Drosophila melanogaster: one gene and its partner. The protein of the gene in region 2 purifies or fractionates together with the protein of the main gene of each other region. This does not show direct contact. Each region holds a gene or a part of one and is shown on either strand. Other genes may lie near its edges.

The links.
Region 1: the proteins of Liprin-alpha (region 2) and wrd purify together in Drosophila melanogaster (affinity purification with western blotting; one study listed by BioGRID). This does not show direct contact.

Annotation. Positions count from the first base shown.
Region 1 is NT_033777.3:18,171,229-18,178,864, reverse strand, and holds wrd (well-rounded), read right to left. Parts: upstream 6,022-7,636; 5' UTR 5,916-6,021; intron 5,740-5,915; 5' UTR 5,581-5,739; coding exon 4,675-5,580; intron 4,326-4,674; coding exon 3,821-4,325; intron 3,533-3,820; coding exon 3,336-3,532; intron 3,263-3,335; coding exon 2,928-3,262; intron 2,862-2,927; coding exon 2,631-2,861; intron 2,559-2,630; coding exon 2,166-2,558; intron 2,061-2,165; coding exon 1,817-2,060; coding exon of another isoform or gene 1,772-1,816; exon of another isoform or gene 1,624-1,771; intron 963-1,623; coding exon 819-962; 3' UTR 490-818; downstream 1-489.
Region 2 is NT_033779.5:6,722,279-6,726,934, reverse strand, and holds the start of Liprin-alpha (Liprin-alpha), read right to left. Parts: upstream 3,033-4,656; 5' UTR 2,851-3,032; exon of another isoform or gene 2,758-2,850; 5' UTR 2,542-2,757; intron 2,109-2,541; 5' UTR 2,088-2,108; coding exon 1,839-2,087; intron 1,778-1,838; coding exon 1,676-1,777; intron 1,160-1,675; coding exon 806-1,159; intron 734-805; coding exon 632-733; intron 563-631; coding exon 395-562; intron 337-394; coding exon 217-336; intron 1-216. Other genes in the region: homer, read left to right, coding at 4,125-4,138, 4,505-4,656.

The DNA of each region.
Region 1 (7,636 bases), on a different chromosome or scaffold from region 2:
TTATGGGTATGCTGCTCTAACTGCTAGGCTAAATAGCGTACAATATTTGCAAATTTGAGTCGTGGAGTAGTAAACATGTTTTATATAGTATGTGTGTATAATAGTGGCATGTGGCATGAATGTCTGGATGTCATATAGCTATCTATGTATGCATGTGGCAGAAATCGGGGGATATATATGTACTCAATCAAGGTGGTAAACGCCTACGCCTTAAGTTAGACAATTCAAATTCAACTGTACAATTATATTCACGCGTTTACTGAAATGGTAAGAGCATAGTTGTGATACCAGATTATTGCACAATTAGATCTAATTGATAGGGCTATAGCTAAAGCAACGCTAGCAGCAACATGCATTGGGTAAAAGATATAAGAAATAAGAATATATATAAGAAGGTCATTCAGGGCTAAGCTTCACTGTGGCATGCGTTGGAGCAAAAGGGTAATCTTGAAATGCATATGCAAACGAAATTGGAGCTAGACAATCGATCTCGTTGGGGATTCTTGATCTTTATTGGTACTATGCATGATCACTAAAGATAGGTATTTTGTATGTGTATATATATATAGCAATTGGCTTGCATCCGTTGCCACGCCCCCACTCTAAGCCCCCAAATGCAAATGCATCGTTCAAAATTGTTTGTTCTCTAGTTGTGCGGATTCTATCCTTCATCTCTGGACTTGGACTTGTGCTTCTATATATGTATGCTTTCTGGCCTTAGTCTGGAGTGTGTAGGTCTATTTGGGTAAGTTCTGTGGTTTGACTATCCTCCTCATTGGAGCTACGAATATTGGTGGCGTCGGCTGGCCAGCTCTCTCCTAGTAGTTTCCATCCGGCGGCGGCGTTGTGAGGTACTCATCCGTCCGCTTGTGCTCGTTTAGCGCCTTCACGGTTCCACTGTCCGATGGCAGGTCCGATTTCCGGCGCAGCAGCGGCTTGTCCTTGTTCCGTTCGCCACGAATCTGTGTGGAACGGGAAGGGGGGTTTGGCAATAGAAAATGGACCCGCTTCTGACACTAAGGCATCGCAGCACACACACACACACACACTGGGCGGGTGAAGTTACACGGTGGTGCGGGATGATTGCGTTACGATATCGAGTGCTGTGGTGCTGGATGGAAACTCGATGACCACCAGTTGGACAACACACGACTACGATATATATATACATCTACACCCGAATGTCGAATTGTGTTACAAAGGTCTGAGATCGAGGAGTGTTGTATGGTTTCTGGTTCTGAGTTGTTAACAACATGATACATTTGACACTAGTTTTTAATAGTTATGTGCACAGATTTTACTCTAACTGGGATTCATGCTTAAAAATGGTGATTCACTTGAGGAAAATTATGTTAAGTGTTCAAATTAATAAATGAGAATCATATTGATGTTACAAAAGGAACGCGTTCTCTCATTAAAATGACCACAAATGAGTTAAAAGATGGACCAAAGTGTAATTAACATCTAAGTAAGATAAACTACATATTAATTCCGCCCAATTCGTATGCGGTTAACCAAAAGTGCAGGAGAAAAGTTGTTGTGTCGTGGATGAATTTGCATGGATGCGTTTGGTTTGGCAGACAGTGAGGTTACCAAATAATTAATAAATAAATAGACAAAGTTAAAGATATACAAATATGTATTTTTTTTTTTTTAAATGACATGAGTGTGATTATTTTAACAGACATTCGTTCGATTAGAATTAGAGTTGAAACAGAGTGGGCCTTAGCTGGGCACAGCTCACAGCGACGCCAGGATCACACGTGGCGGATTAGTAGTTGTTTAGTGTTGTTAATGTGGCAAGTGCCTGTCTCACCTCTCGGGGCTCCTGGTGCGCCTGTTTCTGTGGCGGCAGCGGAGGCGGCGGCTGGCGCGCCCTCTGCTCGCTCTGATCATACGCTGAATCGCTGTTCTCACTATATTGATCGCACAGGGCCCGGCTGTCGCTGACCGGCAGGCAGTCGTTAAACCGGCGCGCCTTTGTCCACTCCGGGTTGGTCTTGGCCAAGCTCTCCACCTGTTGCCAGAGCTCCTCCCTTTGCGACAGCTTCTCACGCTCCCTGCAATGCAAAAAAAAAAAAAAAACGCCAATGTTTAGTACAAAGTAATAAAACGTGAGTGCATCGTCCCATGGAAGTTAATTATCAACTAAAGTTAACACATACATCTGCTTCTCTTGCTTGTAGTTCTTGCTGCACTCGTCAAAAAGCCGCTGATCTATCTCCATGAACAGCTTGAGTGCATTGTAGATCAGACCATGGATGGTCTTGTTCCAGTGCGTCTTTGAGTTGCGATTGAGCGCTGGGAACATAATGGGTAATATCACCGCCGAGTTATCCGTTATCAGCGACATAATGTACTCGTTGTTCCAATAGTACAACGCACGTTCGGCCACCTGGAAATGAGGCGAAGAGACGCACTTGGCTATTTGGCGGAACAGCGGCACCATCACCTTCTGGAACTCGGCCGGCTCAATTACGTCCAACAGCTCCTCCAGCTCGTTCAAAAACATAACCTCCTTGGGACTGTGCGTCTTGGGCCAAAATTTAAGTAGGCTTCTGCAAGAATATTGAAATATGGCAGCGATAGGCTAATTAGAAAATGCGCAAAATAAGGAATTCTTTACTCACTTGATGACCGCCTCCGATAAGCTAGGATCCTTCTCCAGGAACTGCACCACACAATAGGTGAGCTGCGGATGGTAGACCGAGAGGCTCTTGGCTTTGTGCAATGGCAGCAATACCTTAAGTAAAAATTGTTTATGCTCCTCCTTAAGCGGCAGAGCAAAGCCATTGATAATGCTACCCAGGATTTCCAACAATTCGGCTATGCCATTATGATGCTCCGTTTCATAAATAAATCTAAATGTGGAATGCGATTAGTAATGTGAGGCATTAACCTTATAGATATTCCAATGACGAGCTCACCTGTAAAAGACATTGTTGATCTGCTTTCTAATAAATGCTCTCAAGCCCAAAAATTTTCCATAGATGCGATGTAAAACAGTCTTCAGGAAATCACGTTCACGTGGATCCTCCGAATCGAATAAATCCAATAGTTGTAATACAAATTGATGGTCGATAAAACGTTTTGCCATGCTTGGTTGAAAATCTGGTGACTCCAAGAAGCGCAAGAACAGCTCGTAAACGAGTTGCAGATGCGGCCACGAGGACTCCAACGTGGGCTCATCCTCCTCCGGATCGAATTCGGCACCATTCGGGTTGGACGATGGCGGCAGAGTTCGGAAAAGGTTGACAGCAAACTGATGAGAACAGATAAGTATGTTGTGGTAAAAGCATGTGATATTATTTTAAATATGTAAATTAGTAGCTTACCATATTGATCGCCTCCGGGTAAATAACTTCGGTTATTACGCCATTTTGGTTGGTGAGGAAATCGACCATTTCGTGCAGAGCCGCCCGCTTCACCTCCTTGAACTTGAGGTCGCTGAGCGGCTCGGAGAAGTCGAACAGTGTGCAGCATTGCTGGATCTTCTGTATGAACAGCTCCTCACGTTCACTGGCGGCGGTCTCTATGGAAATACAAATGAAATCATCATTAATTTTTTTAAATATATAATATAAGTGATAGATATATCAAACAAAATGTAAGCCATATAAAATTGACCTTAATATAAAATTAAAAAAAAAAAACCTACAACTACAAAAACGACCAACCAAAAGCAGGCAAGCGAAACTCAAAACGAACATAATGAAGATCGGAAGAAAGGATCAAGTAGCCGGAGGACCTCAGGCCCAAGGGCAATGGCTGGAATGGCTCCATCCATCGCCATTGGCCCGGATCCATTCGGGATAGCAACCTCGCAGTGCAGGCAGCGCCATGGCAACCGAAGCGGTGGGTGGCGTGTAGAATAGATTCCGGTCGCGAGCCCTTCCCGGACTGCCCGTCAGCTGTTGGAGCGTCTGGGGCGAGGGCTGAAGACCCGCCGGATGACCCGGCAGTATGTCACCGTTCTGCCGGATGCTTAGGCTCGATGTGGTCACCACCATGGTGGCGTTAGGTGTCACCATTACTGCTGATGACGCAGGTGCTGCGCCGCCATTGCGCTGGCCAATTCCCAATGAGATGCTAATGCCGCCCACCAGATTCTGGGCCACCGTCGGACGCATCTCCTCTGCGGGCACATCGCTGGTGGTGGGAACAGCGGCGACGGCGGTGGCGGCGGACGACGGCACAGCCGCCGCAGAGGATGGGGATGATGAGGAGGAGGTGGCCGCCGCTGCTGCCGCCGCCGCAGCACTAGTACCCACACTCTTGGTGGCATTCAGTATGTTCTTTATGGCCGCGGCCGCGCTCACAGGTGACTGGATGATGAGGAAGCGATGAAATGAGAGCAGAGTATGGTTTTGGTTTATCAAATTTCGGTTTGTTCAATTGGGATGGAGTTAGTGTTGGTGGATAGTGTGTGAGATGCTACTAAATGTATTAGCTTCTAGCGTACAATGTAAATAAAACTTTGATTAACAAGGTACTTGAATTGTTATTTTTTTCTTTGAAACTTAGTTATCGTTATCCAAAAAGCTAACACAATTAGTGAAAGTTTGGAAGAAAGTGTAAAATTTGTGGTTTGTACTTGGAGGTGGTGATGTGGTTATGTTTTGGGTTTTCAGATCGCTGGGTGTGTGTGTATGTGGACAAGACCAAGCTGCAAACCTTGCTGGCGGCGATGGAGCTGCTGGCTGCGTTGTTGGTGGCGGTGGATGAGGAGGAAGCTGACGAGGAGGACGCCGCCGAGGCAGAGGATGCCGCAGCGGCTGCCGCCGATGCTGCGGCGGATGTGGCCGCCGAGAAATGTTGTGCCAAAGTGGACACAAGTGAATTGCTGCCGCTAGCAGCGCCCGTTGACGTTGTTCCAGATCCAGATCCAGATCCTGCTCCTGCCGCGTTCTTCGACATGCCGGCATTCGAGGATAGCGAGAGCGAAGAAGTGGAGGACTGCGATCCAAATGGCGAGGAGGCAATCAGTGCAGCTGCAGCCGAATTCGCTCCACCACCGTATGTGGCGGCCGAGGATGAGGCCGAGGAGTTAGCAGCCGCCGAGGCTAGCGAGGATGAGGCCGCCTGTGAAAGCGAGGACAGGGCCGAGGCCGACGAATTGGAGCTGGTGGACGAGGACGATGGTGAGGAGGATGTGGTGGGTGCTCCGGATCCGGCTGCTCCTCCTGCTGCTGCCTCTGGCGGTGAGAGGGGCGTTTTCCGCCCCTCGAACTTGGCCTTTAGCTCCTCCACGCTGCTAAACCTGAATCGGCTGCCGGTCTGTTGCTGCTCCTGCTGCTGATCCTGCACCTGATCGTCCAACTCGTCGTCGGCCAGCTGATCTAGGCCGCTGTGAAACGATGGAGATTTGGGTATGCGTATGCCGAGGGCATAATACCCGGCTGCAATGGGCTGCGTTTCCTGCTCCTTGCTGGAGGATTTAATGGGCGCCGGTTTCTTTTGCTCTTGCTGCTGCTGTTGCGATTGCTGCTGCTGCTGCTGCGGCTCCTGCTGATGTTGCTGTTGCTGCTGTTTGGGACCTTTGAGCCCGTTGCCCGTCAGCAACATAGCACCGAAGACCATCTCATTAGTGCCGGCACTTGGAGCAAATGGCACTCGGTTTTAATCTTGATACGGAACGCTTGTTTTTTTTACCAGCCGCCCCCGCCGACCAACAACAACACATGAGAAAGACTACACTAGAAACTCAATTTGGGCACGCTAAGTATGAAACTATAGAATCTGTAATGGAATTGCAATATAGATAATGGTTTAGATTAACGCCAAATGCGATTATGCGCTGATGGTAACACAAAACGAAATGAAATGCAATTGGAAATGAAAATGGAAATGACAACGCCTCTGCTAAAATTCTTCTTTTGCCTCACAAATGGCCATAATTACGTGGAAAAACTTACGGTTCGAATGGGAACAAATGAGGGAATAGGATAGGAGAGCAATTAACTTGGGAAACGAATATTTTCAACTAATATTAAAGTTTTCGGGGCACACGACGTTCACGGTCTTGAAACGGTTTTTTTTTTGTTGCTTCGACTGCTGCGCCAATCGGAAAAATCGATATCGAGAGAGAATGAAATGGAGAGAAATTTGGTGAGCAGCAGACAGAGAGAAAATAAAGAGAGAGAAAGTGGGCTGGTGGGCGAGCGAGCCACAATAACAATAAAACCTAATAAAATAAAATAGTATTGAACAAGCGAAATTTGTTTATTCGATTTGTGAGTCGAAACCGCCCAAGCAATTAGCAGAAAGGTATGTGAATAACGCAATGCGATGACATTCATGCTGCACAGAAAAAAAAAGTGTAGCAATTTCATAATCATTACGCGCAGATATGTACATATATGATTTTCAAAAATATTGAATTTGCTTTTTTTTAAATTAATTCCCTGCAGGATACAGTTTTTCTAATTATTTGTATACACAAGTTTAAATCAATCGAATACATTTGTGTCATAAAGAAATGCCGGTGTATATATGAAATTTAAGACGGTCTGAGAAATCCTCTAACGATGCTTTCTCCCAGTGTAATGAGAGGCTGCGGAGAGAGCGCATGTGTTGAAATTCCGGTGAGTGAGAGAGGTGGAGAGAGGTGTGAATTGATGCGGCTGCTTGGTTCACATGTGTGAGTGGCCGTGCGTCAGTGTTGCCACCCACCTAATCAGACGACACTCCCTTGACCTTTAACTTTAACAAATAATAAACAAATTACAACAGCTGAGCGAAATTAATCAAGCGCCGGCCAATCAATATTCCCAACAAGCTTGCAGGTCGTAGGTACACTTTACAGAGAATGCCTCTTGTAAGTTAAAGCTGAACTTATAATCATGGAAATTTACCGGAGTTAATTGACATAATATATGTAATTATGCATCGTTAATGGGAATTACTACGATTTATACAATCTGTTTTGAGTGTATAGTTGCATAAAAACTTAATTGACGATGTTGGTAGACAGTAAGAAAGGTAATTTTATATCGCCTAAACGGAACCCTGCCCTAAAATGTATGCTACGACATGGCTACGACCAAGTTCTACCCCATGCAACCGATCTGCAGGCTTAAGAGATATCGATCTGAACAGCTGGCAGTACATGTATTATAAAGTAATATACTAAGTAGTAGGATCTACTCCAAGGCTACTCACTCTCGTTTAGCGGAATGAGGGCCGTCAGTTCGCAGTTCTTGGAGGCATTGTACCGGGCGCTGGTCTGGCGCTTCTCCTTGCGAACGATCGGGGTGCCGGTGATGTTCAGGACCTTGCTGATCGGCGTGGGCGGCGGTGCATCGTACGGTGGTGTGTTGTCCTTGAGTTTGTTAGCCTGCAAAGGGGCATAAATGACACTTATCTGATTATCTTTTCCCATGTCAACGGTTTGGCTTATGCTTAGTAAATGAAAATAATTTTAACAACGAATGCAAAGCAATATGCGGTCAAATAAAAAGCATACTCAAAACGTAGCACTTGCAAAATCAGAGCAAAGCAGTTCAGTTCGGGATGGTCCCTCGCTGCCATTTTGGCCGGCCATCGCTTTTACCTTGGACTGTGCGAATCCTTGACGCCTAAGTTGAGCTGCCTGTGGGTGTGTTTTAGTCTGAGTTTAGTAATGCCGAACATTGAA
Region 2 (4,656 bases):
CGATAATTGCTTGACTTGTAAGATCATGAAAAATTTATCTGCTATTCAATTGGAAATAACTTTACAGTAAGGTAATGAGTAATCAATGGATTTTTTTGAACAAATGGACTGTGCGCTTATCGAAATATAATAAAAAAAAATCGATCCTCATGAATAAAAGTAAAGATATGTATGCCTGCCTTAACCATAAGCTGTAATTTCCTTGGTTTTACCCACCTTGAGCTGCGCCTCTTTATGCCGTAGTTCCTGCTCGAGTTTCTCGTTGAGATCATGCAACGATGTAGACTCCCTCTGAGCATTCAGGTATCGCTTTTCCAATGTGGTAATGCGCTCCTCCTAAAAATGAACGTATAAGTAAAAAACTGAAACCATGCTGTGAGTATTATTCACTCACCTGATCCTCTTTCTGGGCAACATTCTCGCGCAGATCCCGCTGCAGCTTGGCACACTGGTCTTGGGCCTTGCAGTGTTCCTTTTGCACTCGCGACATGTTCTCCTCAAGCTCACTAATCTTGTTGTTCAAATCAGAAACGCGTCGCTGCCATTGTGAAAGTTCCGAGGTCTGACAAGGAAAGAGCGTTTTAAAAAGTGTTCACCATATGCAGACTGGAAACAGATCCGCAATCTTCACCTGCTTCTCAATAATGGTTTGCAGCTCGTGGGTTTTGGCTGCGTAGTCGTTCAGCTCATTTGCCTCGCCATTAACGCCACCAGATCCGCCCACGCCCGCCATCTAGGGTATTGGAAAATAGAAGAGATATATTAAACCGGACATGCTTGACTGCATTTCGAATGTGGAACGCACCTTCTCTTTGAGCCCGTTCTCGGCGCCCCCACCACCGGCGGTGGTTGCGGCACTCCCTGCTCCGCTGCCACTGCCCACGCCAGCTGGCACCACGCCCGCCTTGTACTGGGCCAGTTCCTCCTTGGCAGAGCTGAGTTCCTCTTCCATCATGTTGTTCTTCTCGATGGAAAGCCGCAACCGCTCGCGCACCTTCTCGTCCAGCGCCTTGTGGTGCTCGAACAGCGACTTTAGCGCCTTGAGCACTTCCACCTCGCTGGAGACGCCGCTCTGGGCGGCAGCCTGTCGCTTCACAACGGTCATACGCAGGGAACGCTCGTGGCGGGACACCAAGCACTCCAGATGTTCGAGGAGAAGCTGAAATAGTCAAGTTAGATCATTAAAAATATATTATTTCACGCAGTAACCGACGTTTAAATTGTCTCTTTAAAAGTAAAATTACCGTAGAAATTTAATTAAAACTGATTTTCTTGATATTCAATGAAGCGGAAAGGACTTATAAATACAGTTTACTTCACTTTTTATGGTTTAAGACGGATGTGAATACAAAGAACTAATTCTTAAAAGGCTGTAACAATGTTTGTATAGTCACTGATAAGTAAACAAATAGACAAGCCATGTTCGAAATAAAAATGAAGACGGACAGAGTAAACTTTTGTATTGTTCCCGGTATATGTGACTAATTCGCAAAAGCAAGTACCTACAACTGTTTCTTGTTTGAATAACAATGGGATATGTAATTTAGCAATGGCTATAATACCTAAATTAATAAATTAGTCTAGCAAATCTTGTCATGATCTACCTGATCTAACCATTACTCAATTGTCTCAGTAATTGAAATACCAAGGATCTAAATTTTCGAAAATCACTTACCCTGGTATTATTCCTCTCCGCCTTGAGCTCCCCAATCTCCTCGTCACGTTCCAAAAGGGTCTCCCGCGCTTGCGTCAGCTCCTTGGTCAGGGTGGCAAACTCCTAGAAAGATCAGGAAAAGATTTTAGGTAAACTGCGGTATCAGCATGCAGAGGCCACTTACTTGCGGCAGATTAGCGTTAATCTGTCGCTGCAGGCTGTCCCGCTCCTTCTCGACGTCACGCAGCTTGTTCTCCGTCTCGTTAAGCCGCTCCTGCGCCTCCCTCAGGCTGTCCATCAGCTTGTCCCGCTCGTCCAGCATGGAGACCATCAGCTGCTCAAAGTTGGCATCCTCCCCGCTAAACTGCGAGGAGCGCTGCGAGATGCTATCCTCGGATATCGTGGGCATTACGTCGCACATCATGTTCCACATTATTTAGTTGGGGCCGCCAGACTGTGCGAGACAGAGAGGGGAATAAAGGTTACAGGATTTTGGCTGTAGGTACATTTTGTGCGGAGATTGTACCACTATCGCTGTTACCGAAGCACAAAAACTAGACGCGTTTTTCTAAAGTTTCTTGAATTTGATCCTTGATCATAAATGAATTGGCGTGATTGAATTTTTGTCTGTGATTCCGCATATGGGAGATACTTAATGCTGTAGCTTCTTCTGCATAAAATCAAATTCTTTATGTTAATTGAATTTATAAAGTAAATTCAATTAATTCATACAAAATGTCCATTCTATGGAGTCCGGATATTTTACTACACACACACACGTTCGCTAGCCATTCCAATTGAAATACCCAGCATAGTGGGAGAAACATGTCTAATGAGACTTATCATAGGCGCCGCATTGATAACAAGTTTTCTACACCAACACATACGCACACTGTCGCAGGCGGGGGCACACGCACGGCATACACACTCACACGCGCACGCACACAGGCACAGTACTTTTTCTCTTTCGCATAACTGGCATATTTTGTGTGCCTAGGTGTGTCGCTGTCGCATTTTGCAATCACATATACCCGAAACAGGGTTAAACGAGCAGCAGGTGCGAGCTTACGCCGCTTTTAAATGCGTTCCAATGAGTTTTTCACCTGAAATTTCGGTTTAGTGGGACGGCGTTCGTGTGAAAAAAAAGAGGCTGCGAGAAAATCGCCTCGTACTCCTCGTTACGCCGGAACACGTACCCCGATCGATCGCACGGCGGCTGGGCAGCAGCAGCAACAACAACTCTGGCCGCTTTTTGCCCTTCGCATAGGTGTCCCGGCTGCTTTTAATTAAATAAACCGAATTCCAAATGGATTTTTTAACGATGAGAAACTGGTCAGTGTTACCAGATGGCAAAACGGCTAAAATCCGTAAACCAACCCTGGTTCTTCACTACAAAATGTACTACATTTCATGAATTTTTTCAGTGGTTCTATTTCGTCCAAAAAATATAGAAGTAAAATGTGTTGTTTTAAAGTTTTTGTGGCAGTCTATTTATGTTCAAAGCTAAATTATATGCAAATATTATTGCCGATCAGGAGTTGCCATTTGACCTATCGTCAAGTATTAGAAAAATGTGTACTAAAACTAATGCTGCCACACCGCACAAAGAAAACCATATCTAACAAATATTCAAACTACATGTAGGCGCACAACTAGACAGTCAAAAAAACTTATCACTTTTATCTGAAATTATTTTGTAACTTCCGTCATTTAAATGCAATGCTTCAACAGCTACACATGTTTTTGAAAAAATTACATTGTTATGGTGCCTTACAGACAAACATATTTAGTATTTATTTATCTTAATTAATTTGCAATTCGCTTTACAGCGATTAAATTATTCGATAAGAATCATTGCTCTTATACGAGCTCATGTGTTATCGATGCTTGGAAGCTAATAAATAAATCATCGATGGTGTTGAGCCAGTAAAAACATCGATAGCACCATACAAACATCGATTTTGGTTCCAGCTCTAGACATTTGTGTTTTATTTTTTTTAACCGTGAAATTCATAAGTAAAACCGACTAGCATTGGTATAAACTGCTGCGGAAGCACTCAGTCAGCGCCAAAGAACGAATACAATGGGGTAAGACCGATGGGCGCGGCCAAACCGGCCTAAACCTGCCGTTTTTACTGTGGGAAAAATCGACGCCGAACTAGCTGACATCTCCCCCCTATGATGTTGTTGTTGTTGCTGCCGTTCTGTGTGTAGCGGGCGGCGTAAATACATACATATATATGTACACAAACATACACCTACACACGCACACGCGTGGGCAGGCCAATTACATGTGTGTGGGTGTGCAGGTGTGTGTGACTGTGCAGGTGTGTGCGTGCGTGTTTTCCGCCCGAGAATCAAAAATCACAAGCAAGGCTGCGGAAAAGGCTTAGCACATAATGCAATTTAGTCGGCGGTCGACAGTCGCCAGCGATAACGGGAAGACACAAGTTATAGAGCTCAGCGAACGATGTCGGCGGATAGGTAATAGATAAGATATATATATGTATATGTGTACAAATAAAGGCACTGGAGGCTACCACGGATACGGAATTGATTTGATGGGGGCCCTGCGCCCCGCAACAAACTGTCATTGCATCAGGCCAGATCGCAAAAAACAAACATATATCGACCTACTTTATCAAATAAGGACCACGAGGATTATCCTGGGACTTAAGGACTACTAATTATAAATGCATTACACAGTGCCTGTTGACTAATAAACCACAGTAAAAGAATGCTTTGCCATAGTTTACTCACACGAGCACAGAAGCACAATTTATTGCCTGCTCTAAATGGAATTTTTAATTAATCACACGCTTGTCGCTTTAATCCCTTTATGACCCTTAGCGAACAACCGATTTTCACCTGCCAGGCGCACGTCTTCCACATCGATCCGAAGACGAAGCGCACCTGGATCACGGCCAGCATGAAGGCGGTCAACGTTAGCTTCTTCTACGACAGCTCGCGAAATCTGTACCGCATCATCAGTGTCGAGGGCA